Linked DNA regions of Mus musculus. The protein of the gene in region 2 purifies or fractionates together with the protein of the main gene of each other region. This does not show direct contact. Links are inferred from orthologs where the notes say so. Each region holds a gene or a part of one and is shown on either strand. Other genes may lie near its edges.

Region 1 (5,735 bases), on a different chromosome or scaffold from region 2:
ATCTATCTATCTATCCATCTATCTATTGAGATGGGCTCTTGTGTAGCCCAGGCTAGCCTCAAACTCACTATACTACTGAGAATGACCTTAAATTTCTGATTCTCCTACATTCAGCTCCTGCAGGATGGGATCACTTGTGGTGCTGAGAATCCATCTTGGCTTTGTGCATGCTAGGCAAGCACTCTACTGACAGAGTTGCATTTCAAGCTTCAAGAGGAAATTTTAGTTTTAGTATAATTCTACATTTACATTTACATATTCTAAATTGACAGTATAGAATATTTTGGAGATGAGACATTAGTTGCAGTAGTCTAAAGAGTTGATTTGCAGTTAGCTAATGTAAATGCATACATTAACCCAAATTAGTTTTGGATTTTTGCCTTTAGCAGCAAAGAGTAGACTTGTTCATCCTGTCTGATGTGATATACTGAAGATTTGAAAATCAGCACTGGCTGTGAAAATTCACTGAAGCTTCTTCTTGGTATCTGGAGCCATACTACATTCTAAAAGTTTGTGTGGCACATTGCTTCTTGTATGAAGTCATACATCATATTTAATATGCCACTCTGGATATATCAACCAGGGTTCAGCAAACAATCTCAGAGTTTTGGATTACTCACCCAGGATGCATCTTTGTAACAAGGGAACAACATAAGAGTGCTTTAATGTGAATAACTTAATTTTACAGGAGGGACGATCATTGCATTTAATGTCCTCTATAATTAGGAAGGCACATTAGATTTAAAACAGCAGTCAGGGTGAATGATGTACACTGCAGCTTTGCAAAAAGTTAAAATTGACCCCACAGTTCTTGCTTTACTTTGACAAAAGGAAAAAAAAAGAACTTTTCCCATTTTTGTTTTATATCTAGGAGATGGAAGGCAAATGGATTGAGAACGCCTTTCAACTAGCCTGGCTGATTTTCTTTTCTGAAACTGGTCACCACAAAACTAAAATTGGAGCTTCTTAGCAAATTGTTTCCGATTAAGAGGTACCAATCAATGCATTGAACTTGGAGCAAAATATGGAAGATTTGAGAGTAAGTAAAGTTCCTGCCTCCCTCTATCACTTTCCTTAGTACCACATGGGAGATGGTAAAGTGTTAATAAAATGAAACAACCCCACATGAACAATGGCTCTCAGAGGCAACATGCAAAGATTTTTTTTCCTGTATGAATCTTAACAGAGAACGTATAAAAACCTATCATTGACTTTCTCCTCATAGGTACAAAGGTTAAGCTGAAGGCAAGATTAGCTACCAAGTAGCCTTATGTGGTCCACTCATTTTCAGTCTCGTAACTACTTACCATTGGGATTGCTAATTTATGTAAGTATGTGTGGGGGTGTTCATCACTTACCAAGTATCACTTTTGGCAGCAAGGAAGTGGAACAGAAGAGATACTGTTAATCACGACAACATTTACGAGTACAGGATAGTTAAGCACACAGGCTGAAATACCAAAATGCCACTGCCTGCTCATCTCCACTTAAGAGCTAACTCATAACTGACAGTGTCATTTCTCTACACGTACATAAAATCCCCCGACTCTTGAAGGCAAGAGCATTTCTCTTTAATGTTTCATTTCTATATGCAAGTATGATTGTGCCTGTACTTGAGTTAGCAGTACCACAACCTAATTTGTTGTTGTTCTTTCTTGAGACAGGGTCTCACTATGTAACCCCAGCTAGACTGGAACTTGCTACATAGTCCAGGCTGACCTCAAACTCATAGAGATCTACCAGCCTCTGCCTCCTGTGTGCTACCCCACCTGGCTGTTTAAATGCTCCATTGACCCAATCTCTCTTTACTCTAAAGCTTCTTGAGAAATGTTTAGTTAGTTACACAGCCATATCACCCTCATATTTTTTTGCCATTTTTCCATAGCAGGAAGTTGGACCTTTAAATAGCCTTAATGAAAATATTTTCTAATTAATTTGCTCTGTATGTCTAAGCATAAGCCATGAGTTTTTGCCTCACTTTATACTTGCAGACCTTATAATGACTTCTCTTTGCTCATGACTGGATACAACTTTTAGGAAAGTAACACCAGGTTTTAACACAAGCATGGCAAGATGTGCCCTGAAGAGGACAGTATTACATTCCAAACACGTGGGCTTGCTAGCACAGACATGTTCCACAGCACACAAGTGCGTGCAATTAGCTTCTCATAAATATTCACTGCTGTGATTTTTTTCCTAAATAGTAACTTTGAAAATTTGATAGTAATTTATAAATTAATATACTTTTCAAACTAAAAAAATTAACGAATGCTTTATTTTGCGTTTGTGCCGTAATTCTCAATTCTTCAACCTCTAGGACACTCAGTGCACTCACACAACAACTAGTAACACTCCTAATCCATACTTGCTGCCTCCTACCTGCCTCTGCCTGTGAGCTTATTATGTGCATCGGTGGTGCACTGGAATATTTATATATTGGCAAATGTATGTAAACACATGTCCAAACACTGAAAAGATGAGGTTTGTACCACAGTTAATAAAATAATTTTAAAATTTCTTCAGTATGTTTTTTTCCAGAGAATAAAAAGTAACAACAAAGATCATCCATGCTCCTTATGTTTTTGTTCTATGGCCATAGTCCTCCTTCTGCTTTTTAAAAAGATATTTTATTAATAATTTTTATTTTGTAGGCATGGGTGTTTGCCTACATGTATGTAAGTGTCCACATGCATTCTTGGTGCCCGGGTTAGCCTGAAGTGGTAATTGTGTGTCCCCTGGAGTTGAGTTATCTACGGACAGTTGTGAGCTGCTGGGTATGTACTGGAGCGAAACTTGGTCCTCTTAGGGCAGTCAGTTCTCTTAACTGCTGTGTCACCTCTCCAGCCTTGGAGTTTTCTGTTTTAAGTCACATTCGGAAATAACACATCGAGAGCATTAAGTGTGCAGGGAGGTAATAGTGTCCCCTATTTATTAAAGTGTTCATTCTCTTACTTTCATTGTATAGTGCTTGATAAAAGACTTGTGATGAAAGAACCTGCTACTAAATGTCATATATTTTATAAAGCACATTAAAATAATATACAGACACATATATACACATACACACATATACACACATACACATAATATACATACACACAAATACACACATGAATATACACAAAACCACACATGTACACATACACACATTTACATACATACATATTCATACACATACACACTAATACACACAAACCTACACATATACACATACATGTACACACATACACACACAGATGTAAATACATACACATACACGCTAATATACACATACATATAAAGACATACACATATGTACACATACATACACATACATATACACACTAATACACACATGCATATACACATACATATCAATACACATATATGTATACACACAGACACACAGACACATACAGACACACAGACACACACAGAGTCCCAAGTGCTGACTGTACTAGGCCCTGGGCTGGGAAAGTTTGAGGGGACTCCTGTGACTCACCCCTCTGTGGCAGCACCCTCCTCACTCTGCTCTACTGCAGTAGTGATTGGAAAGTGAGTCTCAGCAGAATTCACACAGCATACACTTGCTTGACCTTGTACTCTATCCTGGGCAACTTGAATTTTGTGCCTCTTTGGTGATGCCAAGGGCAAGTGTAGACTTTAGCTAACAACTCCTGTGTGGTATCACTATAAGCAGTTGTGCCCCTGGGATACTACCCTGATGATGTACTTCTGGTTTACTTATCAGAGCATGGTTTGAAAAACAAAGAAGTTAAAAAGTAAGTTAACCACATTCTATAGAGTGGCTTACATATTGGTTTTGTGGGTGTTTGGCCTATATCAGCACTATCTTGCTTTTATACTTAGAGATATTTAAGCTTACGAGTGTGTGTGTGTGTGCGCGTGCGCGTGTCCCCCCCCCCCCCGCCTCTGTGTGCACATGTGTGTATGGGATGAAACTAGAAGGGGAGTTATTTGGGGTGAAGGGGACCAGCAAGAAGGGAAAGAGGTATAGAGGAAGGTCAAGGGGGTTGGATATGAACAAACAGTAATGATATAAATGTGAGGTTTACAATGAACCTCATTTCTTTATATGCTAACTACAAAAAACGTAAAAGAGTAAATAAAACTTGGTCCCTGACAAATTATGTGAACTTGTCTTGGTAGGAAGGCTCCAGACATGTGTAAGTGAAGGACATCACATCTTAGTCTGTGCCAGAGATACTCACACGATGTGAGCCAAGTTGAGTGGCTTTTCAGGCTGGTCTGGGAACATGGGGTGCAAAGGTTCACGGCTTGAAGCACAGCTCAGGGACTTGCTTAATGCATTCGTTAGCTTCTTAGCAGGTGATTTCTAGAAAGAGAATAATAACAACCTTGATTATATACTTTAACAGATAACTTTAAATTGTTTACTAATAGCTGCATATTTATTTGCTCATTTCTTGATCCATTTCATTTATTGATAACTCTGTTTTGAGCACCTGCCTTCCAAGTCAGGAAGTTTGTGAGAGGCTGTGACTGCATGCTGGAAAAAGCCACCAGGGTACCCATCCCTTGCTGCAGAGTCCCCGCAAATGCTATGCTGAATGGAAGCACTCATTGTGTGGGGAAATGTGTTGAGGTTTAGGGGACCACTAGAACTTTCTGGAACAATCTCAAGGGATAAGAGGAATGAGCTGAGAATCCATTTGAGAGAAGGAAGGTAGGAGGCAACCAAATTGGGTAGATAGATGTTTGTGCATGTCTCCTCAGGAAGTCACACAGCATTTGTGTATGTAAAAATAGTTATTGGGCTGGAAAGATGGCTCAGAGTTTAAGAGTACTGACTGCTCTTCCAGAGGTCCTGAGTTTAATTCCCAGCAACCACATGGTGGCTCACAACCATCTGTAATGGGATCTGATGCCCTCTTCTGGTGTGTCTGAAGACAGCTAGAGTGTACTCATATAAATGAAATAAATAAATCTTTCTAAAAAAATTATCAAGTTACTCTTTACACAAAGCCTCCATGTAACTTATACAACTTTGCATTCTTGTGATTGAACCAATTTAAGTACTTCAGTTGTCCTGGCAGATGGGACAGCTAACAGCAGCTAATCCAGGCTCTAAGAAATAACTGTAGGAGACAGCATGAGACGTGAACTTGGCATTTAATTGAGGTAGATGACAAAACGGTGAGCCATACAAACAGTAAGTGACTCCTCTGCAGAGCAAGCCCCATGGACTACTGTCACATGAGCGCACGCAGGTCACTTTGCCAAGTCAACTACTCACACTATGAAAAGATGGTTTTAAAACTACAAATTTCCCTTGCCACTCCCTGAAAAAAAATCTGAAACTGAACCAGGTGTGGTTGAGCATAATTGTCATAATCCTGTCTAGTACTACACTAGAAAAAAATTAGGAATCTTAGAAAAAAAGTAGAGTATTTAAAAAAAAAAACAATATACATAGAAACAAAACGAAGTGAAACATAGCAAAATGTGGACTTTACAGTAAAGTAAGCTGGATGCAGGACTGCCTGCCTCTCTGTTTGTTAGGTCAGCTCTGACCTGCCTATTATATCCTGAGAAGAATCAAAGTTTGGTTCTTCCAGTATTTTAAGTCTCAGGAAGTCACACTAAACTCAGATACAAACAGTAAGAGGTCCCAGTAGGATAAAGAATGGCAGGCAAGGGGAAGGAACATTGGAGTAGAAGTTAAGTTTGCCCTCATTATCTGCCTTTTTTTGTCAACTTGACACAAGTCAGGG
Region 2 (5,735 bases):
GTGCATGCACAGACTCATGGTACTGAAGCTGTGGTACAAAGGCTCCTGAGCTGGGCCCTGAACAGAGGTCATACCAAAATCAAAACCAAGCAACTAAGATTGTTTCCAAACCATACATTATTATTTCCTCAGACACAGCAAATGTAAGGAATGGATATGTAAGTTTTGTTAACTGTATACAATCATAAAGGAAACAACTATAAGATATAATTTCATAAAACTAAGTTGGCTCTACGTCAAAGGGTACAGGCCATTTTGAGTGACATACAAAAGGCTGTAAATACTCACAAATAAACAAAAATATACATAAATAATATCTTCCAGTTAGAAAAACAATTTTAAACAGTAAGTATTACTCCCTTGGTTTCAAAGATGAGCCATTACTGGGCACAAAGAAACTTCAAGTCCCATTGAGAGCACAGTAAAGAAAGACAACAATGAAGCTATCACTGTAATATTGGAGAAATATTCCTGCCAATAATAGCCAGGCTTCTAAAGGAAGGGTGAGTTTATAAATATCCCTGGCAGGGTACAGTAGCCAAGTTCATGTTATAATACAAATCGAGTTTCAACATCTTGCTTTTTTAATTGTCTTCATGTAATAACCAAGTGCTGTGATTTGAATGTGAAATGTCACCCATAGGCTCGTGTGTTAGAACACATAGTCACCAGCAGGTGGCGCTGTTTGGAGAATCTTTAGAAGACAGAGCCTCACTGGAAGAAGCACATAGCTTGGTGGAGGCTTTCAGGTTTTATTTTATCCTACTTTCTGTTCTCTCTACACTTCCTGATTGCTGATGAAATGTGACCAGCCAACCTCCTTCTCCTGTGATCATGTCTTGCCTGTTATGCGAAGTGTGTGTCCTGAAACCATAAACCAAAACAACCCTTCCTTTTTAAGGTGCTTTGATCAACATTTGTGTCACCAATGAAGAAAGTAACTACTATACCAGTTCTAACAAACAAACAAACAACAACAACAAAAATACACACACACACACATATACACACACATATATATAAATGTACAAAAGAATGTTCACTAACTACACAAAGAGACCATATTATAAATTTACATAGCAACAAAGATCATTAAGGCATACTTCTTCACTGATTAAACAGTCACATGAATTAAAAAAATTTTAACCATATGATTCCTTGCTTTCGTATCTGAATACTTGCAATGTATTGCTCTATAGTAAATTCTCCATTACATGTTATTTTTGTTGTTGTTGTTGTTGGGCTATTTCATGTTGTATTTGCATTTAACTACATTCACAGCTACTGGGGGGGGGGGGGGGATCACACTCATTTTTCTTTACTCCTATTCACAGGTCCCTGTTCGAAGTCTAAAAACAACAGGAAAAAAAAAAAAAAAAACTCCGAAACATCCTATGAAGCAGAAGGTTATAGAGCAGAAAAACCGGGAAGAACGGGCCTGTGGTTATATATGAATTCCAATTACCTGAAGCTGCTTCTGTTCCTCATTCACATTAATCATGCCGTGTGGGAGAAAGGAACATTAATAAAATCCTTTCTAATTAAAAGGGAGAATTATTTTTAAGCTAAAAACTAAAGGTGCCCCCATATCATTAAGGTATTATGTGCTTAATGGCTGTGTGCCTGTGGACACATTTCTCTTTAAGGAATGAAGCTCATCTCTATTTATTAATCATGTCATATTAGAAATACATGAAAAATGGTTTCCATGATCCTAATGCACACTTGGACTCTGTCAACGCTGCATGGCCTGGTACTCGTGTGACTTAGAGATAACTATTCACTTAGTTCACACCTACCCTCTCCGATCACTGTACACTCTATTCACTCGGTCCCATTTTGCATTCAGCTGAGCGAGCATGTCCCTGATCTGAATGGCCTCAGGGCCAGAGGCTTCCACGATGACATCCGGCTGCTTCTCGTGAACAACTGCAATCTGCTCTCCAAGTCTGTCCAGTTGACCTTTGATACTCTGCAAACGCATCATTGTACAAAACACCAGAACCACAGATAAAGAGTTACATGTATGACACTCATTTAAAGTAATAGTGGGGCTAATTACTGTTCTGTGTGCAAATGAGGGGATTCTATTTTTTTCAATTTATTTCTTCACTTTACATCCTAATTGCATTCACCCCTCCTCCTGGTGACCCTTGCATGGCTACTTTCCTCAATCCCACTCCCATTCTTTTCTGAGAAGGGGGATGCCCCACCTGGGTATCCCCCCACCCTGGTACATCAAGTCACTGCAGGACTAGGTGCATCTTCTCCCACTGAGGTCAGACAATTGTCAAACCAAGCTGCACATCTGTAACATTTGGGGGTGGGGGGTAGGTCCAGCCTGTGCTTGCTCTTTGTTTGATGGTTCGGTCTCTGGGAGCCCCCAAGGGTCCAGGTTAGTTGCCGCTGTTGGTTTTCTTATGGACTTTTCTATATAAAAATCTCAGAGTCACCAAAATGTGAGGAATACCATCACAATGGCGAATGGGAAGGCACCCTCCTAGATGTCCTGACCGGCTTCAAGGCAGGATACAGGAAAGGTAGCTTTACTAACATACTATGTAGGTGAAAAAAAAAAAAAGGAGACACTTCTAGAATTATAGTTTTAAATGCCTAATCACTGTAGCTTAAATGAGAAAATAAATTATTGAATCTATCAGAAATAATACGACATCTTTATATAGAAGTACAATCAAATACATGGGAAAAAACTTTCAAAGAACTCAAAATGTTAACTTGCAATCAATACGCAATTCCACAACGGGGCAACTAGCCAATCTCGAATCAATATGGATGACCTGACATCATTTGACACAAATGACAATCGAGTTTACATCAGATTAAAATTAGATCTCTGCTGTTGCAAATAAATGTGCATTCATAAGAGTCCAGACCTAGATGCTTTTTAAATTGAAAAAAAAAAATGCTGCATCCTACCAGGGAATACAGTAAAATCTCACTATTTATACACTGTTGTTGCTAATTTGGAGTAATCAAAGATTTGGATTATCTAAATAAGTACAAGAGCAACTTCCATCTGAGCACGGCAATCATGCCTGTAATCTCAGCTCTCCACAGGCAAGAAAAGGAGGGTGAGCATCCAATTAGCCTGGACTATCTAAGGAAGCCCTGTCTTTAAAAAGATGAGGGGAAAGGAAAAAAGAAAAGAAGGGAGGGAAGGAGGGAAAAGGTTAAAACGGAGGAGGAAAGAGAGAAAGAGGGAGGGAAGGAGAGAGGGTAGGAGGAAAGAAGAGAGGGAGGGAGGGGAGGAGGGAGAGAGGGGGAGGGAAAAGGCAAAACAGGAAGAGCCGGAGATTGGCCTTGTTTCTGTACTTTTTCTATTAACAATGGCAACGGACATTCCGCACTTGGATTTTTACCTTCAGAGAGTCTTCCTGGAAAGAGAAGTCTTTGTAGACAGTGGTGTTTAGCTCCGGCATATTAAGTGATAATTCAATGTCATCCAGAGTGAGTAAAATTTTATTAATTTCAACCAAATAATCTGCAGGGAGGGCTGATGATGTAATTCCAGAAGAAACTGGAATTGTTTTTCTCTGCTGGATAGGGATTGTCTATTAAAAGATTCAAAAAAAATATTAATGCAGGTATGTTAACCCCCCCCCATGAAAGTAACAACAAATTGGGGGTGGGGGGGTTGAAGAATCCCAGAATGTCAACCAAAGTTGTAAGAAACACAAGTCAGGTGATTATGATCAAAACACACTATGTACATGCACAAAATGTCACAATGAAACCATTATCACACAATTAATAAATGCTAATAAAAATAACATTCAATATAAGTTTTCTTCTTTTAACCTTCATTGCTACAGAAACTCCACAAGCTGCCTCAGCTTTCATCAGCAGTCTGCCACTTTCATGCCAAAAGGCAACCTCAGGACCACCACCCACCCACTGAGGAAGGGTCTTTCATTGGTCTCATGGCTAGAGCTCACCAATTAGGTGAGACTGCTTGGTCTACAGAGCCCTGGGATCCTCCTGTCTGCCACTCCAGCACTGGGATCACAGCACTGTGCCACCATGCTTAACATTTTTACATAAACTGAGACTGGAGACTGAACTAAGACAGCTCAGGTCCTCATACGTGTGAGACACACACTTCCCAGACCACTATCCTCAGTCCAAAGCCTAATCGTTGTAAGTCCTGCTTCCTGTAATGAACAGGAAAATAGGTGAGGATGGTAATGAAGTTTCCTCCATCTACACAGACGGGCTATTTTTTTAAGAGGATAGACTAAGAAGGGAAATGGGGAAAGTGGACGACACCAATGGCAACTTCCATTGGATCGTACAACAAGGCACGTGCAGTCAGAGACAGCTGGTAGACAGCAAGCCAAGGCACAGGACTCCACTCAGATTCCGAAGTGATCAAATAAAACTCATTTCAGGAAGAACTACCAAAAAATAGAGCTCTGGGGAACAGCATCACTTAAAACACCACAAGGATATTACTCTTGCCGTATTTTCAATGTCTGCAGATGCACAGTTGAAAAAGAGGAACACCGAGGCTTCTGGGACAACCCCTACCTCCACCCTACCCCTAAAAAATTAATAGCCTAAGAAGGTAGCCATCAAAGAGAAGTTTTGAAAGCTGTGATAAGGATGCTGAAATGTAGCTCTCCACAACTGATGGCTTCTGGCAAGGGTGGGGAAGGACTCAGTTTCCCTTTCTCATTGGGACTAGACCATGCACAAGTAAGTTTAACACAAAATGGTCTGAGGGTCTTTTTCCTCCCCTTCCCTCCCCTCTCTTCCTCTCTTCCTCTCTCCCCCCCCCCACTTCCTCCCCTTGTCTTTGTTTTGGTTTTTGGTTTGTTTTTTTTTTTTACATTTAAGGGAGCAGACATGGGAGGACTGGGAAGTGCGTGTGATCAGAGTGCATGATGGGAAATTCCCAAATAACCTATAATATACACCAGGAATAGGATCCAATCCTAACTCCAAAAAATAAGCAGTAATTACTTAAACTTAAAAAGACAGTGAGGGGGAAATATATAATTTCCCTAGGTGATTTGCTTGAATATTGCTTGTGTCTTTAAATATTACATCCCCAGCCTGGATGGTACAACTGGGTAAGTTATTTCTTTGCTGCGGAGACCACAGCAACCTACCTTAATTTTGTTGTAACGAGTATGCAAAAGTAACAACTGCAAGCGGATCTTTTCTTTCTTACTGTCCTCCATAGGTTCATGTAACAAATGCTCCCCTCTTTGTAGAACTTCCTCAATCTGGGCTTGCTCCTCATCCATCTAAATATTTAAAGAAAGAAAATTACTGAAAACAAAAATACACAGACAAACTTCGTACTCTCCATTGTTCAGTGTTAAGAACTATGCTGAGACAGACAGGGCAGTGTGGGTCAAGCCACATCGGCCTGAATGACACAACTGCTCTTGATTTTCTTCAAATACTTTATATTGGAAAATCAAATATCCCAAAGCTAATTTATCAAAACGTAGCTAATGATTACAGCTAGTCAGGAAGGAGGGGGTGGAGCTGCTACTACCACTGTTTCCTCTCCTTCTTCTCCTCCTGCCCTTCCTCTTTCTCCTGTTGCTCTTCATCATCATCATCATCACCACCACCATTAGTGTTTGCTTGTTTGTTTGTTTGTTTGTTTGTTTGTTTGTTTGTTTGTTTCTTGTAGCCCAGGCTATCCTCATACTTGCTCTATCGCTAGAGAAGATCAGGAACTGGGATTCCTCCTGCATCTG
Region 3 (6,356 bases), on a different chromosome or scaffold from region 2:
GCAGAACTGTCATTTGACTGATGGGAAGCAAAAGGCTCCTGTTTTCTATCAGATACTCTGTTTCCAGGTTATGAAGCTATGTGTCCCCTCCCCCAGAAATTAGGGAAAGCGCTAGCCTGGGGTAGGTGAACTCTGGAAGTTGTACCCTTCTCCACACTTGACTGTTAAGGCTGCTGCTGGCTGGAAGACAAACAGTCATCTTGCTGATTACTTTCAAGGCTGCGAAGCCTCCAGGCCAGCAGAGGCATTTGGAAAAGCAGCTCACAGAAAGCTCAGCTCACAGACTTTAGAAACCCCAAAACCACTAGCCCCAGGTCAGAATCCTGCAAAAGGAAGTCATCTCTGGTGATAGTGCACATCTGAAATCAGGTGTCACCAAAATTATCTTCAAGACAGAGCTTGGCTTTCTTTTATCTACTTTCACTGTTAAAAGCAGAGTTGACAGCAAACAGGCAATCTTCTGCAACATAAGGTTTATTTTTATGCTTCAACATGTTCTGTGTGTTTCAGAAGTGATCAAAGAGCTCCTAGAAACAGCTTATCAGCCACAATTTTAAAGAAAGAAGGAGAAAAGGAAGAGATTGGAAACATCCACAGAAGTTTGCTTACTTATTCTCTGGTAAAACCAGCTTAACTAATTTAAATCTAAATAAGGTGACGGTGGAGAGGGACCTGCCCAGCCAAATTCTTTGCTTTTTATTTCCTAACACTGAGGTGACTGCAATGACTGAGCTTCCACAATGGCTTCACTATGTGCAATGGGACTGAGGAGAAGGTATTTAGTTTCAACCTGGTAGCCGGGTCTACTCTGAAGAAGGTGGATGTTGAACTGACTCTTGCTTTTTGTTTTTGTTTCTAAAGCACACAGGGTTGGGCTGGGGAGTATAACGTGTCTATCAAGAACAAGGCTCTGAGCAAATCAGCAGCACAAGAAACAAAGAGAAACAGCTAGGCACCTGGAAGGGTGTGCACCTAGCTTTTCCAAGTCCAAGTTTTTTCGAAGGCGGTGGCAGAACATGAAGCTGACAGTGTGAGTGGAGAATCAGGAACTGACTGCATGCAGCTCGGTCCACCAAGAACAGAAATGGAGCCTAAGAGGAGCAGAATGACAAGGCAGCCTCTGCTCTGGACCAAGTTATCACGAAGCAGCTCACGTGCCAAACTGGCCACTGATTACCACTCTCCTGAAATCAGTGTACATGCATCAAACCTCAACTTCATGACCCAATACTGTGTGGAGCACATCTGAGCACACAGAAGACCAATAGTGCATTTACACTTAGTAAACAGTCAAAGAAACCACACCGAGGCCACTCTGCCCAACACGGTGCCTCCACAGCCTGCCTCTCTGGGGAACAGGCAGGTCAACCACGCCCCACATGCCTGAAAGTACCAGTCAGTCACTTGGCCTCCTTCTCCCTGCTCATAACCAAGTCTGGGAAAGTTCTCCAGTTAACTGAGGTCTAGCTACTGCGAGAAGTAGGAGAAAGGAGGATGCACGGACCAGCCTCAGAAGAGCCTGGACAAAGTGTTTCCCAAGAGACACTGCTGGCAAGCAAGGGACTGTGCAACACAGACCAAGCTCCTCAGTTTCTGAAGATCTCTGTCCCAGGCAGGACTAGCTGCCAGACCAGGCATGAAATCAATCAACCATCCCTCCCTCTCAACCCCCTGCTCTGGCCCAAGAGCACACAGCCCCTATGTGTTATGGGTCCATCGTGTCAGAAAACTGTCCGGATGCTTCTTTAGCTCCAGGTACAGACAGCAGGAGAGTAACAGCAGCAAAGCACAGGAAAGAGATAAAGAGGGTTCTCAAAGAAGGAAGTTGATGCTAAGCAAACACAGCAGCATCGCGAGCCTACCTGGCTACAGAGAAAACAGGGAACAGGAGGGAAACACCAGGGTGTGCTGAGTAAAGCCTGCTCCTTTCCAACGAGTTTGTGTTTAGTAAAATTCACCCAGAAACATGTGACAGGCAAGGGACTGTCCAAAAGGCAGGCAGAGAGGGACACTAGAGACAGTGAAACAAAGGAGAGAAGTGTGAAGTGGAAGCAATGGCTCATAGGTGAGAGGACGACACAGAAAAGGCAAAAGCTTGGGTGACAAAAAGCAGTGATTGCCAGGATGAGAAAGGGAGAGCATAGGCCAGCCCAGGAGCTGGTGCGCAGCATAAGCAGTTAGCATACACCCTGGGACCCGCAAAGGCTAGCTAAGAGAAAGGGAATGGACAGAGCATACAAGCTGTAAACAGACTGGGAGGGGAGGAGGAGACCCATTAGGACAGGAAAGGCAGCACTGATTAAGGAGGTATTGTAAGAGAGATGGGGGAAGGTTGAGCAATAGGAAGTAGCAAACAAGAAAGATACTATGATACTATGAGAAGTGACAGCCACCAGTTTGGAAAGACAGTATCGGAATTTGTGTTGCAGTGTAAGTAGGCAGTAAAGTAGGGACTGATGCAGCTGATGCAGCCCGCAAAAGAGTGAGCAACAGGTTATGTTAATACAGCCAGACTAAAACACTGACTTTCCCACGGTAGAGGAGAGCCCAGGGATAATCTGGAAGAGCATTCAGACAGGAGGCCCAAGGACTTAAATGCCAAACCCCAGGGGGAAGAGAACAGGAGTGATCCAAAGACTCTGAAGGGAGCGGTGACTGGAACCCCAAAGGCAACCTGTGGGAAAACTATGCGCATGACAGCTGTATGGGAAACACGGAAGCGACACATGCCAGTGCCAGGAGCCTGGGAGCTCCTGCCGAAAAGAAGGGAAAGTGATGAGCAAGGAGTAGGCGAACGATTTGGAAAGGTGACGAGGGTGGAGCTGGTGGGTTGCAAGCAACAGGGAGAGCCCAATTTGGAACGGGAAAGGAGGATAGAAAAAGCTGGGGAAGTGAAAGGGGAAAGGGACCGAGAACACACTCCCGAGACACGGACTCTTGAGGGAGAAAACCGAGGATTGTGAGAGCCGGTGCGGGTAGAGAGGGTACAAAGCTAGAGAGATGCAGAAAGAGGTGGGCAACAATCCGCGGCAAATCGCGGGGTATTATTCGAGGAGCAGGAAGGTGGCTGCTTTAAGCGTGGGTGGAGGAAGACCAGAAAGGCCCCTGAGAGAAAAGGGAAGAGAGGGGGAAGCTGGGGAGATAGCACGGAAGAGCGCAGGAGGGCGGTGAGAGGCGAGGGGCGTTTGGCAGAAATACAAGTGTGCAGTTCAGTCAGGACGACGTGGGTCCCAGGTCAGGATTCGGAAGAGGGATGTGAAGGGCTGGAACCCAGGGCCAGATGACAGCCTAGGCTTGTAGAAGAAAGCAGGAGCACGAGGAGAACTGAGGGAGGGAGCCTCCGTAAGGTGCAGGGGCCCAGTCACAGAATTAGGGGAGCCCTGAGGGCTCCTTACCTGCTCCGTGTCCCTTTCGTTCAGCGTGGGTAGGGGGGTCCGAGCGCTGGACATGGCGCCGGTATCTCAGGGGAGGGAATGGAGAAGCTTGGAGGAAGATAGGGAAGGGAAGGCTAGGAGCCCGGCCGGGCGGGGCTTCTCACAGCAGGAGCACCCGCTGCATGGGCCCCGGCCGGGGGTGCGGGGAGGCCGGGCGATGGCTCACGCCAGCCCGGTGATGCACCGCTCGGGCTAGGCCTCGCCGGCTCCGAGCGGCTCCGGACCGCACCCCCCCCCCCGACCCCCGGCTGGGTTGTGCCGCCTTTCGGCCCGGCCGCGCCGCTCCGCCTACTCTCAACCGCCGCAGCCGGCCGCCTGCCTCGCTCCTCCCCTGCCCTCAGCCGCACTGCTCCGCGCCCGACACACAGGCAGCCGCCGCCGGACCTGCTGCTCCCAACATGGCCGCCACCACCGCCAGCCCTCGGCTCTTTCCGCCGGCAAGAGCCGGAAACATCCGAAACAACTAGGAACGGGAGGGGGAAGAGCCTTTTCCTCTCGGCCCAGACGATGGGTGAATTCCGGAAACTACCGAAGAAGGTAATCCCCGGGGACGCGCGCACCTCCTAGATTCCGAAGACCGAGGTTCGGCTCTGTTTACGGAAATCCACGAAGAGACTCCCCGCACCTCCAGAGCCAACCAGCAGCCACGCCTACCGGCCTTTCTCCGCCCACTTGGAGCAAGCTTTCGGCAGTTTCCGGAAACAGCCGAAGAGGCTCCGCGTGTGCTAAACCGGCCACGCCCCCGTTCCGTCGCTCGGCCGAGAGCGGTAGTCAGCCATTTCCGGCAACACCCGAGAGCTGCCGAGGCTAAGAATCTATCTCTTCGTTTCTTTCCGTCAGTTTTCGGTTATTTTCAAACCTTGAACAGGCGTGGGTCACCTGTACCTGTTGTTTGACTTAGAAAATACCGCTATTAGCTGTTCCTACAACTGATGTCCTTTGAGCCTAACGCCAACTTCCCATCCGCATGTTTAGCTCATAAAACCCACTTTATCGCTCAACCTTGCTATCAACGTGTGAGTCAACTGCCAAGTGTAGTGTCATCCTATTGCCTGTCTCCTGCTTTGCACACCCGCCCATCTTGCGACTATCTTGGCTTCTAGAAGTCTATGTCAGCCTTATATTGAGTCAGTCCCCTCATTCCTCTGTAAAGCCTGGGACAGACACCAGGTCGGACAGGCACTGGGTCAGCGTCCTTGAAACTTAACACACCTTTAAGGTACAGTATTTTTTTCAGTATTGAGAAAAATGCTTGCGTGATCTTGGCATGGAATCACATAACAAAGGCCAGCAAAATAACTCAGTTTGATCCATGGGGATCCACATAGTGAAAGGGGAGAACCAAGTCTAAAACATTGTTCCATGAGCATGCTACCCTATACACTAAATAAAAATGTAATTATATATGTATATATGTGTGTGTGTATAATATATATACATATGTATGTATATGTATATATATAAAATGAGTTGGAGAGATGGTTCAGAAGTCAAGAGGAAGGACTGGTTGCTCTCCCAGAGGACTGAGGTTTAGTACCCAGCACCCATATGGTGGTTAACAACTGTCTAACTAGTTCTAGGTGGTTTGACACCTTCTGGCTTCCACTAGGTTGCACAGACGTACATACAGGCTAAACACTCATATACACAAAAGTTAAATAGATAAATACTACAACATAGGTCAGAATGCTGGCTCATTCAGAGCCTGTACTATTTTCCAGAGAATCTGGTCAGGTCCCAGCATCCACATCAGATGGCTCCCTACCCCTTGTAACTTCAATTCCAGGGGAAATGATGCCCTCTGGCCTCTACCAGCACCCGCATGCCAGTGATACACATAAACCCATAAAAGCACAAACATAGGCACATACAAATAAATATTTCTTTAAATTACACATAACATTTCCTTTCTGCTGTTAGTTTCGATTCTATGACACAGTTTCCCACTGTAGACCAGACTGACCAAGAACTCCTGGAGCTGCCTCTGCTTCCCAAGGGCTGGGATTAAAGGTGTGCACCAACCACCCTGTCCATCCAAGTTTTTGTTGTTCTTTTGTTTTTGCTTTTTTTGGAAACAGGGTATTAAGTAGCCCAGGCTGGCCATGATATGTAACCAAGGATGGTTGAACTACTGATCCCCGGCCTTCATTTCCTCACCACTTTGATTGCAAGTGTGCACTGCCATGCCCAGCCCTAAATGACTTTTAAAATATTCTACAATGTTTAAGTCTGGAGAGACCATCTCTTTTTTTTTTTTTTGGTTTTTTGAAACAGGGTTTCTCTGTGTAGCCCTGGCTGTCCTAGAGCTCACTTTGTAGACCAGGCTGGCCTTGAACTCAGAAATCCGCCTGCCTCTGCCCCCCAAGTGCTGGGATTAAAGGCGTGCGCCACTACGCCCGGCTTGGAGAGACCATTTCATTTTCATTTTCATTTTCATTTCAAATCTCCCTTCTAAGACAAACTCATGGCAAAAGAATAGGCACTTGTTGACGATAAGGATTCCTGGGGTTGTAGGATAGTGGGAGAGCTTTAACTCCCATGCCATGAAGGAGGCCCTGGGGTCAATCTCTAGAACGAAAAATAAAATAAAATAAAACAGACAACCAAAAAGGATTCCTCCAGCTGGGTATGGTGGTCTGCCCCTGTAATCTTAGCACTAGAGAGAAGCAAAGGGGGTTGGCGAGATGGCTCAGTGGGTAAGAGCACCGACTGCTCTTCTGAAGGTCCAGAGTTCAAATCCCAGCAACCACATGGTGGCTCACAACCATCCATAACAAGATGATGCCCTCTTCTGGAGTGTCTGAAGATAGCTACAGTGTGCTTACATATAATAAATAAATAAATAAATAAATAAATAAATAAATAAATAAATAAAATCTTTTTTAAAAGAGAGAGAGAGAGAGAGAGAGAAACAAAGGCAGA
Region 4 (6,261 bases), on a different chromosome or scaffold from region 2:
CTCCCATGGCCTCTGAAGGGCTTGTCTTCCAGCGCTGGTGTTTTGATGCAGATAGACGGATAGACAGATGGATAGATAGTAGATAGATAGGTAGATAACTAGATAGATTATAAATAATAGATTATGGATGACAGATAGATATAGATGGGTAGATAGATGGTGATATCAGAAATTGAGAGTCAAAATAATTCCTTTTTCCAAGAAATTCTAATTAAGAAATAACAACTTCAATAAGTAGAGCAGATTACCCACTTTAAACAGGGCATTTCTTGTCAATTTTATTGAAGCTGAGTACCTGCATCCTTATATTCTTAGTGCGCAGTTGTACAAGGTCACCCTATGACGTAAAGAGGTGACCTTTTCCTTATTTGTACTTTGCAGAAGACACTGACATTGTGCTAGGTTATGAGAATGTAAAATGGTGTGGAGGTGGCTCTAACAAGTCTCCTCACTGGGAATCTTTGCTTTATGCTAAATGACAAAAGGGAGGGTTATGATGTTTGAGCTGATGGTATGTGACCACTCCCACATCAGTGAGGACCACAGAGGACAATAAACACTTGGTTTCAAATAAGAGACACTGAGTTTGGTGCCTGAGAATGAATTTTGGTGGTAGAATATTTGCCTAGAATGTGCAAATCATTAGGCAACATCTCTAGCTAGGTGAGGGTGTAAAGGTGAGAAGATGTGGTGAGAAGGCAGGATACTGTTTGAAGTCATACCTTCCTTCATAGCATCACTAACTAGCAGACAATAATTGAAAAGTTGGGCTAGGGATGCCCAGGTCTCCTCCAGATGTCCTTACTGCAAAGCATGATGCAGTGTTCTTTAGAATGTCTCTAGAGAGCTTTTTACAGAACTCATTTTCTGGTCACTCTTTAAGAAGTACATGACCCTTTCTCTCTCTCTCTCTCTCTCACACACACACACACACAAATACACACACATACACACATATATACACACATATATACACACACATACACATACATACATACATACACACACACATATATACATACACACATACACATACATATACATACACACATATACATACATACATGCTCTCTCACACACACACATATATGCATACACATACATACACACATATACACACATACATACATATACATACACACATATACATATATATATACATACACATGTATACATACACACATATACACACATATACTCATACATATACATACATATACATACACACATATACACATACACATATATACACATACATACATATACATATGTATATACACACACACATATATATATACACATACACACATACACACATATACACATACATACATACCATACATATACATATGTATACACACACACACACACACACATATATATATATATATATACATACATACACACACACATATATATATATATACACATACACACATACACACATATACACATACATACATACCATACATATACATATGTATACACACACATATATATATACATACATACACACACACACACACACACACACTCCTTTTTCTAAGATCATTTTCAACTCCAGGTTGTTTCTTAATGTCCTTGGCAAGTTATTATTCATTAAATTCATGAAATATTCAGAGACAGGAAGAAGGGATGTAGTAAAGGACATGCCTGAAGTAAAATATGATTATTTGTCACCCCTTCCATCTGCATTTTCAGTATTGATTACAAACTGAGCAGGCACCCAGAAGTTTATAGTCCAAGCTACACTCTCACAAGATCCCACCTGTCCCTTGTCACCCAAACCAACACATTCTTGATCAAGAATTTTTCTCCTCTTTACTTATGTTAATCATCAAGCCAAACCAAATAGCCTTCTAGGTTCTGGATTCGGGGGCAGTGAATTAAATATGAAGACATCACAAATCTTCTAGACAAATCAAAATAAAATAAAATTAAAAAAAAGAAAAGCCCCTTTGTGTTCCAGGTTAGGAGGCAGACACATATTGCCAGTAGTTTTCATCTGCTGTCACATGCCAAGCAAGTTGGCTTCCCAGAGTCACACATCAGCACGACAGTTGGGTGAACAGGGAACTGATTACATTTTAGTTTAAGGGCTTAAGTCAATCACCACCACGTTATAAAGTCTAGGTTGGAATAGTGTCTCAGTAGCTGAGTTAATTTACTCCCTCAACCTGCATGCATGTCACTGAGGGATACAAGCTCCGGAGAGCCCCCTATCCAAATAAAGGATCTCTGAACAACTCAATCTGTAGTTAGGAAGAAGCTGAGAAAAATCGATGAAATTATCACGCAGTGTGAGTGCCAGCCAAAGTGTGTACTAAGAGTTACAAAGACAGAAAACCAGAGCTGGGGCAAAGGAAACGCTCAGAGTCCCCCACCCCCACCCCCATATTGCCACATCCAAACTGGTACTTCCTAGTCTATACCCATTGGATGATTATAGAGTTGAAGACACCAGATTTTCAGAGAGCGTTTCGAAAGTTCTTCATATTCATGGGCAGGGAAATCTGTTTACAAATGCAGAGTGGATTTCACACTTCTCCAGGAGACACCAGCAGAAAAAAGAAAACACTTCACCAGCTCTCCACCCAGGGGAACCTGGAATCCGGACTGACCGGCTGAACACCCTGCAGTGGAAGTGAACTTGTGCCTACATTGGCAACATCTTTCCCAGCCTTTGGCACTACTCAAAGCTGCACAGCCTCATGGACTCTCTCTGGTGCTGGAGGGAAGGGAAGCAGGAACGGGTGGCTGAGTTTTAGCATTCAAATACTGCCACCTCTCTCTGGCTTTTATTTTTATTTATTTATTTATTTGTTTATTTATTTATTTATTTATTTATTACCTCTCAGGTCTTCACAGCTGGATTGCCTAGGCTGTGAAAATTTTTGCCAAAGTAGAAAAGTACTAGAGCTGCCTAGAGTCAGTGGCCCTGCTTTACAATGTGGGCAGATGCAAATTCCGTCCACTCTCCATTTCCCGGTCCATTTCCCAGACTCCAAATTACATTTGGATTGTCCGCAGATAAAAATATGAAACCACGTGTACCGATAAGTATGAAACTTCCGACACCAGTGCACTAAAGCACTTCATCCAAGCCAGGAAAACCCAGGCACTCCAGTGTTTTAGTACAGCGCCCTGGGTCAGGGCCAAAGTGAAGATGAGTTTGCCCCCAGGTAGTAAAAGTTGTCAAAAAAGAAAGTCGTGCCACTGCTTTTGCAAAACACAGGCACTGTGGGGTTCTAGGGCTTTGGGGCAAGTGGCTGGTGAGTGTGAGTGTGCTGACGCGCAGAAGAGTAAGTGGAACTGCGGGATAAGGCCGGCGCAGGGTTAACCCCTTACCTTCCAGCAGCACTTCCTTGCCTGCGCGCTTCAATGCCTGCACTGCCTCGTCGTGGGTGGCGTCCCGCAGGTCTGCTCCGTTCACCGACAGGATGGCATCGCCCACATACAGGGCTTGGGTCTGATCCGCTGCCAGCCCCTTGAAGATCTTGCTGATGAGTATGGGCATCTTGTTTTCCTTGCCCCCTTTGATGCTAATGCCCAGCCCGCCCAGCTCCTGCTTCAGCACCTTCACGCCCCTCTTCTGGTTTGAGATGGACTCAGGTACCTGCTCCGGGAGGTCGGTGAAGGCGGTGCGGACCCCGGCGGGAGAGTCCGGGGCTTGAGCGACACCGGGGACCGGGTGCCCGGTCCCGGAGCCCCTGCAGAACGAACCATTGGTGGCAGCCCCTATGCCGTTGTACGCCGCAGCGCCCTCCTCGCAGCTCAACACCAGGGCGTCCTCGCTCAAGTTCACCAGAACTTTATGCCAGCGATCCCGCACCAAAACTTCCAGCAGTCCGCTCCGCTGCGCCCGGGCGCCTCCACCGCCAGCCGGCGCAGCCACAGCCGCTGCCGCTACCGCCATCTTTCCAGCATTCTTAAAATGCCATGTGATTGCAAACGGGGGAAAAGTAGAGAAGGGGTGAGGATGGGAGGACTCAGGGTAACCGAGGCACGGAAGAAGCAGATGCCTGGCAGCGCGCGCTCAGACCCCGGACTCCACTCCCCGTGTTCGCGGCTGCGCCGGGCGCCAGTTGCAGCGGCGGAGCTTGTTCCCCCTCGCCTGATCCTGGGCGGGGTGGAGCAACCTAAAAGAAGACGGAGAGCCCTCGACAGGGGAGGAGGGAAAAAAGCCAGCTGCCAGTTGCAAAACCCCAAACCGAGAGGAGCCTAGGAGCTGCGGAGCGGCCAAGTGCTGTAGAGAATCGGTAGGAGGAGGCAAGGGCGGGGACCCGGAGCCCCAGCCGCTCACCTGTTCGCCACTGCAGCGTCACACTCCCACGTCGCGCTGGCTCAGACCCGGGTGCCTCAGTTCTCAGCCGCACCTTGCCGCAGCTCCCCCAAACCTACCGGGTCACAAACCACTACCCCAACCCCGCCGCCACCCCCTTTTCTTCTCAACCCTCTATTTTCGACGGGTTTCCACACTCACCTTTAGTAGGTGCGCTCACTCTATCCTCTTGAGTCAACTCCCCTCTCTCCTCCCGCAGGTGTTTGAAGATCCAAGTCTTCCTCAAACCAGACCTTCGCTGCCTCAACTCAGTCTCCCTCCACCCCCATCCCAGGACTCTGGGAAGGAAACTACAGAGAGAGAGAGAGAGAGAGAGAGAGAGAGAGAGAGAGAGAGAGAGAGGAGGGAGAGGGAGAGGGAGAGGGAGAGGGAGAGGGAGAGAGAGAGAGAGAGAGAGAGAGAGAGAGAGAGAGAGAGAGAGAGATCCTAGGCTGTGCCAGAAGTCAGGGGAAAACTGTCACAAGAACATAGAATGAAGCCTCATCAAGCCACGTACTCCTATCCTCTAAGTCAATGCAAGGCATCTTTTGGGGGAGTTTGAAGACAAGAGGGCTTTCTTTCAGTACCTACCCTGAATTTCAACGGGGCACTGTCTGCCTCATCTTCAGGACACAGTGTCTAACTCAGTGTCTGCTCTTTGCATTGCTCCATACTTCCCCCAACCCCATCCCCGTGCCAGCCCAAACGCTTCTCAGGGCTCCCTCCTTTGTTCTTAGATTCCATATAGGAAATGTCTTCTTTAAAAGCTAAGAATAGGTTTGTTCTCCAAGTTCCCTGAAAACTGCTTGTTTGGCTCTTAAGCTGCTCTGTCCCAAGGTGATGGCATTGTAACTCTTGGTTCCGTTCCTAGGCCAATCAGGAAATGCCACCTTAACTGTAACCCAAGCCATGGCTGAACATCCCAGAGTTCTGCTAAGCAGGTCCCACACAGTTCACTTAAACTGTGTTAAGACTTACTGGTCTTCCTGCTGTGCCCTCTCCTTTCTCCAGATGACAAAATAAAAAGCAGAATCTGTTAATTCTGGAAGGTGAAGCTCCTGATAAGATGCCAGTAGGAAGAGGGTCTTCTGTAACATGCATGTCATCACCCCACTGTGATGGGTATTTGCAGCAAACAGCTCTAGTTCTTTCCAGACTTACTTAATCAAGGATACTTAAAAACTCTCAGGAATCCCCGTGAAGTCCCTGACAGGGATTACAGAACTCAATGAAAATACTTGAGACTTTCTTGAGAAACTGAAGTCACTACAGCTCACACAGGGTGTGCCACTGTCCTGCTCCTGTAAGTTTTAACTTTCTATACTTCAAAAAAAAAAAAATCTTCATTTTTTTTTTCATGTAAACCTGCCCACAACAGGGACAGGAGCCCAGGAAGTTCTTCAGTCCTTCCTGTTGGACTGGGTTAGCCAGGGAACTAACACAGCTGGCACCACTGTTGGAAAGAAACCTGAGAGAGAGAGAGAGAGAGACAGAGAGAGAGAGAGACAGAGAGACACAGAGAGAGACAGAGAGAGAGAGAGACAGAGAAAAACAGAGAGAAACAGAGACAGAGACAGATGGAGAGAGACAGAGAGCAACAGAGAGAGAGAGAGACATACACAGAAACAGACACACACAGAGACAGAGACACACAGAGACAGAGACACACATACACACACAAACACACACAGAGACACAGAAACACACACAGAAACAGACAGAGACACAGTCACACACAGAAACACAGAGAGACAGAGACACACATACACACACACACAGGAGAGAGAGAGGGAGAGAGAGAGAGAGAGAGAGAGAGAGAGAGAGTCGGGAGGGGGGAGCTGGCCTTTGGTTTAGAGGCTGAGGTTTCAGGCCCTTCATCACTAAGTGTTTGCTTTTGAAATATAAATCACTAGCGTTGGCATTGCTACCAGGATGCCAAT
Region 5 (6,469 bases), on a different chromosome or scaffold from region 2:
AACCATGTTTTTTAAAAATGCTTGGGGCTGGATGGAGAAAGTGCAGTAGGGTAAAGCAGTGGTCATACAGTGTGAGAATTGGGATTTGGATATTTGAAATGGCCCTTACAGGTTAGCTAAATCAGCAAACTCTGGATTCAGGTGAGAGACCTGCTTGCAGTAAGGCAGAGAAGAACTCAAGGAAGACACCACACATCGGTCTCTGGCTTCCACATATAAACATACACACCACACATACATAAGCAAAGAGATAAGTAAATTAATAACCCAGGCTTGGTGACAAACTGTTATACTCTCAGCCCTGAGAAGGCAGAGACAGGTAGTTCTTCAGTGCTCTCAAGCCAGGCAGACCAGCCAAATCTGCCAACCTGAAGCCAGTAAGAGAAGCTAGCTCAGAAACCAAGGTGTGTGGTGCCCCAGGAACAACATCCCAGGTTGTCCTCTCGCCTCCACATGCACTAGCACACACAAGCAGAGACACAGGCACACAAAGCACTCTGGAAAGCCATGTGCAAATACACAGTCTCCTGAAAAATCAATCAGACTTCCGTGACTAATACAGTCAATTACACCTTTAATTAAAAACAAAAACAAACCTAACTCCCTTGCTCATTTCAGGAAAATCCTCAAATACCCTTCCTCCAATTCTTATTCTTTTTTTTTTAAAGATTTATTATTTTATGTAAATACACTGTAGCTGTCTTCAGACACACCAGAAGGCATCAGATGTCATTATGGATGGTTGTAAGCTACCATGTGGTTGCTGTGATTTGAACTCACGGCCTTCAGAAGAGCAGTCAGTGCTCTTAACCACTGAGCCATCTCTCCAGCCCTCCAATTCTTATTCTTTTCTCTTTCAGATTAAAAGAAGTGCCAGAGAAAATAAACTTTTTTTTTTTTTGTCTTTTGAGGGTTTTTCCGTGTAGCTCTGGCTGTCCTGGAACTCACTTTGTAGACCAGGCTGGCCTCGAACACAGAAATTCACCTGCCTCTGCCTCCCTAGTACTGGGATTAAAGGCTTGTGCCACCACTGCCCTAGATATCTTCTTGTAACAAATCTAAAAGCATTCTCTGGGTTCCATTAAAAACCATTCAGAGCCAGGCAGTGGTGGCACTGTGAAGTAATGAACTCGCTTCTGCCTCCCAGGGGCTGAGATGGAAAGACATGCGCCGCCACACCCACAATATGTACCATTTTATAAACACCCAGCTCAACATGCAAAATCTACCCATCTCATCCTATGTAAACTACACATCAAGACAGCACAGTAGTGCACACCTGTAATTCCAGGGCACATAGATAGGAGGATAGACAAGTTCAAAGTTAGTCAGAATGACACAGAGAGACCCTATCAAAAAAAAAAAAAAAAGGAAAAAGACAAAAGACGAAAGAAAAGGTTTGTTTTAATCAGGTATGGTGGTTCACAGAAGGGACTAATAGAAGGATAGCCATAAGTTCAAAGCCAGCTTACAACCTGGGCTACAGTATATCGAGTACCAAGCCAGCTGGAGCTATTCAGCAAGAGCCTATTTAAAAAAAAAAAAACCGGGGACAGAGGGTTTATTTTCAAATAAATGTAAATTAAATATCTAAATAAAATGTTAGAAGTGCCTGAAACAAGGCACCCTAAAACAAAACCTAATCGAAACTTAATGATTATACTCTGAAGTACAGAGTAATTAAAATAAAATAAATGAAGGCTTATTATACATGCAATGACAAGTCTGGATTAATATTGCTCTCATTTTTTATATGAGGAGTCAGTTATGTTAACATCCAAGACATGAAATAAATGATAAACGGAAATCCTCTGCACGCTAATACTTTAAGTAGAAATTCTGTCTCCTGGGCAAAATTCAGTGAACATAAAGACTCTGCCAGCACCACCTTGACTGCACAACCCCTTCAGAGGTAGCTCCACTTAAGTCTGCTAAAAATCCTCAGAGAACACATAAAAGGTCAAGTTTTACTTTGGCAAGCAAAGTAATCCAACAGGCACTGCAAGCGAGGGAAAGGAAGCAGCAGCCTGGGACTGGAGAGTCCAGGCAAGGTGGAGGACAGAAGTCCAGCCCTTACAGAACTAAAGAGACAGAAAGAAGCATTCTCTCCCTTCAGAACCAAGATCCGAGAGGCAGGACAGAAATTATAAAGTGTTCTCTAAGCAAAAGCACCCTCCCATCCTCCTCAAACGACCAGAAAAAAGCCAAAGAGAGAAAAGACCAGAGCACCACCCAGAGATTAAGCTCCTGGTGCACAACATGCAAGAACCACGTGGATGAAGAAGAGTGGCCACAGGCCACCGGAGTCTGCCACCTAAGCCACTGTTTTAACCTACCAGTGCCTGGGTTACCTGAAGAGGCAAAAAGAGAATCCGAGGACCAAAGGAAGTCCAGCGATCATCCCTAACTCTACAGAGACTGACACTCAAGCCCCTGCTTCCTCCATCCATTCTGCAGTGGGCATCCACTGTAGGGCTGCTGGGATCCAGGCCACATCCGGAGGACTGAACAGAAAACAGGCACGGAGCTTAATTCTAGCTGGGAAGGCAAGATTCTTCTTCCAGATTTCTTCTCCCCCTCCCCACCCCTCTTTTAAATGTCAGTAAGATCCTTCAAATCTCTTCTCAATAGTTCCCACCAGCTTTCCTCAACTATCTTACTTTCTCCACAAACCAAGCAACTTACGGCTCCAGTTTCCCAGGGCTGGGAAAATCCTAAAGGGACCTGAAGTGAACAGAACAGGAAACATGAAATAGAGCACTTTACATTTTGTGTGCATACTTTCACAGCCGAACTGTCAGCACTTCAACAGCAAAAGATGGCTGAGAGTGATAAAGTCGTGACCCAGGCGCTGACCGCGGTTCTCTCCTGCTCCGTAGCTAATCAATAAACGCTTGCAGAGAATGCTGGAAGGTCTCCCTGATTCCCTAAGGCCTGGCACAGAAATTTAACAGCAAGCATTCGTCAGCTGCATCCTCCCTCTTCTCCGGACACTGTGCCCAACAGGGGTGACCTGGGTGGACAGGTTCGTCTACCGGGAGCCTCGGGGGACACTGAGAGGTGATCTGGAATGAATTCCCTTCCCTCTGCCAGGGCCTGCCTACCTCACCTGCCCTCTGCCAGGACCTGCCGCCTTCGCCCCCTTCAGCACCTAACGCGGAGCCTCCTCCCCGCCAGCCGGGCTCAGGATGCATCAGCAGCGCGCGCAGCCCGGCTCTGCGCTCCGCGGGCCCCCGCGCGCGCGGGTGACCGGAGAGCCCTCCCCGGCCCGGCGTGCTGTCTCCCAAGGGTCGCCGCTCCAGGGCCGCGCACTCCGCCACCCCGCAGCCCTCCTTCTCGCTCCTCCAGCCCCGGCGGACTCCCCACCTGGCTCGCTTCCCGGCCGGAGCTGAGGGGCCGTCGCGTGGCTCTCCGGCGGCCGCAGCCTCCTCCAACCCGGCCCCCTCGGCTGAGGCGGCTGAAGCAGCAAGCAGCGACTGAGGCGGCGGCGCCCACTCAGGCCCCGGAGCCGCCCCCGCGGCGAACGGAACGGCGCCGGCTCGCGCCGCTTCCCCGCCCGGCACGCGCAGCGAGCCCGCCCCCGGCGCGAGGGCGCGAGGGCGCGAGGGCGAGGGCGGGTGCGCGCGGAGGGCGGGCGCGCGGAGGGGCGGGGCTTCCGCCGCGAGAGGGGGCGGGGAGGCGGCCGAGTGCCCTCCCGCGGGTTCGCGCGCCCCCTCCGGGCCTCTGCTGTGCGCCGGCCGCGGAGGTGGAGGTGGACTTGCCCTTCCACTCCACAGGTAGCTGCCGGGCGGCTGCGTGCTGCGCCGACGTGACTGCACCTTAAGGAATGCGAAGAAACACCCGGTGAATCATTGCCTCGAGCGCGGGTCCTCCCCCGAGTGACTTTCCACATTGCCTCAGCAGGCTCGCTGAGCCCTGACTCCGCGCCTGGTGCCCGATGGACACGATCCGGGTCACGGCCCCTGGTCCCCAAGAATGCATAACTTAGGGAGAAGAGCAGCCTTGCGAAGGACCGAGTCTGGTCCCCTGCGCAAAGCCAAGCCACAGCCGGATGCGGTGAGAGGATGAAGGAGAGACATTACTTTCCGCTTAGTTGTTCAGTAGTTCCTAAAAGTGGGACTATTTAGACATTAAACAGCTTGAGCAACGGAGCAGGGGCGACAAAGCTTCATTTATTTATCTAGCATCTATTTATTTATTTATTCATTACCAACTCTTTTTTTTTTTTTTTTGGTTTTGGTTTTTCGAGACAGGGTTTCTCTGTGTAGCCCTGACTGTCCTGGAACTCACTTTGTAGACCAGGCTGGCCTCGAACTCAGAAATCCGCCTGACTCTGCCTCCCTAGTGCTGGGATTAAAGGCGTGCGCCACTACCCCCCCCCCCCCCCCCCGCTTCATATCATTTTTTTAAAGGACTTTATTTTATGTGTATGAGTGTTTGGGCTGCAATGTGTGTGCACCCTGTGAGTGCCACCCCGAGGCCAGAAGAGTGTGAAATGACACCTGGATGCTGGGGAATCAAACCCAGGTCCTCTGATAACATAGCAAGTGCTCTTAACTACTTAGCTATCTCTCCAGCCCCTCATATTGCCATTTTTTATAGAAGCTTTTCCAAACTCTCTAGGGACATCAAAGTCTTCTTTTAATGGCTCAAAAGATAAATGTTTTCCCTCAACTTTAAGACAGCGGCATGATCCATTAGACTTTTGGTGCGTGTGGATGTGCACATGTTAAGGAAAGCAGCAGTAGGCCTGTGTGCTTTAGGGATGCTTTTTGAAGCCTTCTGGCACCTTATGGAAAGGCAGATCATGCCACCTGCTTCAATCAGACTGGCAGCCTGCCTCTAGGACACCCTTTTCCTCCTCTTCTCACAATCTATTTTTAAATTCCCATGGTGAAGGCAGTGCTGTGCTGATAACTTAGAGTAAGTGAGGTTTTTTGTGTGAGAGGGGATACATTACTTTTCACACATGAATTGTGTGACTGTTTTGCATGTTTGGAAGAGTCTCACTGGTTGCTAGGTGGTGGCTGCTGTAACCATGTAAGGATCCTCAGACTATGTCAAGAGACCTTTAGTTTCTTACCATGTGTTGAGCTCCTACTATGGGGAAGGCATTGATGGGTAAAAACCTTGACTCTGTTGCAAAGAGGTAGAGTATGAAACTGAAGCTACAGGAACCAGCACGGTGCCTCAGACACCTGGAGCATTCAGAACCTGGAGGCAGGAGCTGAAGCAGAGACCCTGGAGGAACCGTGCTTACTCCATAGCCAGCTCAGTCAGATTTCTTCTGTGACTCAGGACCATCTGCCCAAGGACATCACAACCCACAGTAGGCTCAACCCTCCTACATCAATCATTAATGAAAAACAAAACACTTTTTTTTCCTACGGACTTCCTGCATGTCAATCTGAAGGAAACATTACTCAATTGAGTAATGTTTCTTCCCAAATGATTGTAATTTGTATCTAGTTGACAAAAAAAATTTAAAAAAATAGCCAGCACACCATACCTTGTCATCATATATTGCATACATGTATTGAAATATGCATGGTCATTTATAAATATGTACAGTTATTCCATTAATTAAAGATTTTGAAAATGTTTTAAGAAGATATAAATATTAGCCACCCTGATTGTTCACCACCTACTGTATATTCACATGTCAGATTATCCTATGGTACCCCATAAACATATACAATTAAAATAATTTTTGTGATATATGTGCAGATCTGTGTATAGTTAGCTACATATGTGTGTGCTGTATCTTATGCACATATGTGGGCATGTGTGTGGAAGCCAGAGGACAATGTCAGGAGCTATCCATCTTGGTTGCTTTTTTAAGACAAGTTCCCTCACTGGCCTGGGGCTTCTTGAGTATGCTAGGCTAGCCCAACAGCAACCCCCAGGATCCACCCATCTCTGTCTGACTCTGCAGCACTGAAATGACAAGTGTTCCCCAAATGAAACACAAGTACTCCTCACATGAAACACATGTGCTCCTCACACTCAGCTCTGTATTTATGCACTGGAGCTCAGACTCAGCCCCCATGCTTCACTGACAGCTGTCTTCTACAGGCCCCAGTTATAATCATCTTGAAAGACTGTTTTGTGTCTTGTAAAATGGCAATTTTCTTTTTTTTTTTTAAAGATTTATTTATTTTATGTATATGAGTACACTGTAGCTATCTTCAGACACACCAGAAGAGGGCATCAGACCCCATTACAGATGGTTGTGAGCCACCATGTGGTTGCTGGGAATTGAACTCAGGACCTTTGGAAGAGTAATCAGTGCTCTTAACCGCTGAGCCATCTCTCCAGCCCCGGCAATTTTCTTTTTTGAGTCAGAGTTTCTCTGTGTAGCTCTGGCTGGCCTGGAACTCAGTCTGTAGACCAGGCTGGCCTTGAACTTGTAGAGATCCACCTGCCTCTGCCTCCCAAATGCTGGTATATTGCAAATTTTGTGAGGATC

What was found.
Region 1: the proteins of Utrn (region 2) and Dtna purify together in Homo sapiens (affinity purification with mass spectrometry; 3 studies listed by BioGRID and IntAct, with this or other methods). This does not show direct contact. The link is inferred for Mus musculus from reciprocal best matches to the Homo sapiens genes UTRN and DTNA.
Region 3: the proteins of Utrn (region 2) and Mark2 purify together in Homo sapiens (affinity purification with mass spectrometry; 4 studies listed by BioGRID and IntAct, with this or other methods). This does not show direct contact. The link is inferred for Mus musculus from reciprocal best matches to the Homo sapiens genes UTRN and MARK2.
Region 4: the proteins of Utrn (region 2) and Sntb1 purify together in Homo sapiens (affinity purification with mass spectrometry; 3 studies listed by BioGRID and IntAct, with this or other methods). This does not show direct contact. The link is inferred for Mus musculus from reciprocal best matches to the Homo sapiens genes UTRN and SNTB1.
Region 5: the proteins of Utrn (region 2) and Dtnb purify together in Homo sapiens (affinity purification with mass spectrometry; 3 studies listed by BioGRID and IntAct, with this or other methods). This does not show direct contact. The link is inferred for Mus musculus from reciprocal best matches to the Homo sapiens genes UTRN and DTNB.

The regions. Positions count from the first base shown.
Region 1 is NC_000084.6:23,596,035-23,601,769, reverse strand, and holds part of Dtna (dystrobrevin alpha), read right to left. Parts: intron 4,337-5,735; coding exon 4,212-4,336; intron 1,368-4,211; coding exon of another isoform or gene 1,359-1,367; intron 1-1,358. UniProt on the Homo sapiens protein: May be involved in the formation and stability of synapses as well as being involved in the clustering of nicotinic acetylcholine receptors.
Region 2 is NC_000076.6:12,661,567-12,667,301, forward strand, and holds part of Utrn (utrophin), read right to left. Parts: intron 5,271-5,735; coding exon 5,133-5,270; intron 3,573-5,132; coding exon 3,381-3,572; intron 1,973-3,380; coding exon 1,800-1,972; intron 1-1,799.
Region 3 is NC_000085.6:7,337,773-7,344,128, forward strand, and holds the start of Mark2 (serine/threonine-protein kinase MARK2), read right to left. Parts: upstream 4,089-6,356; 5' UTR 3,450-4,088; coding exon 3,396-3,449; intron 1-3,395. UniProt on the Homo sapiens protein: Serine/threonine-protein kinase. Involved in cell polarity and microtubule dynamics regulation. Phosphorylates CRTC2/TORC2, DCX, HDAC7, KIF13B, MAP2, MAP4 and RAB11FIP2. Phosphorylates the microtubule-associated protein MAPT/TAU.
Region 4 is NC_000081.6:55,902,676-55,908,936, forward strand, and holds the start of Sntb1 (beta-1-syntrophin), read right to left. Parts: upstream 4,275-6,261; 5' UTR 3,917-4,274; coding exon 3,349-3,916; intron 1-3,348. UniProt on the Homo sapiens protein: Adapter protein that binds to and probably organizes the subcellular localization of a variety of membrane proteins. May link various receptors to the actin cytoskeleton and the dystrophin glycoprotein complex.
Region 5 is NC_000078.6:3,569,545-3,576,013, reverse strand, and holds the start of Dtnb (dystrobrevin beta), read right to left. Parts: upstream 3,624-6,469; 5' UTR 3,367-3,623; exon of another isoform or gene 3,105-3,366; intron 3,031-3,104; exon of another isoform or gene 2,782-3,030; intron 1-2,781.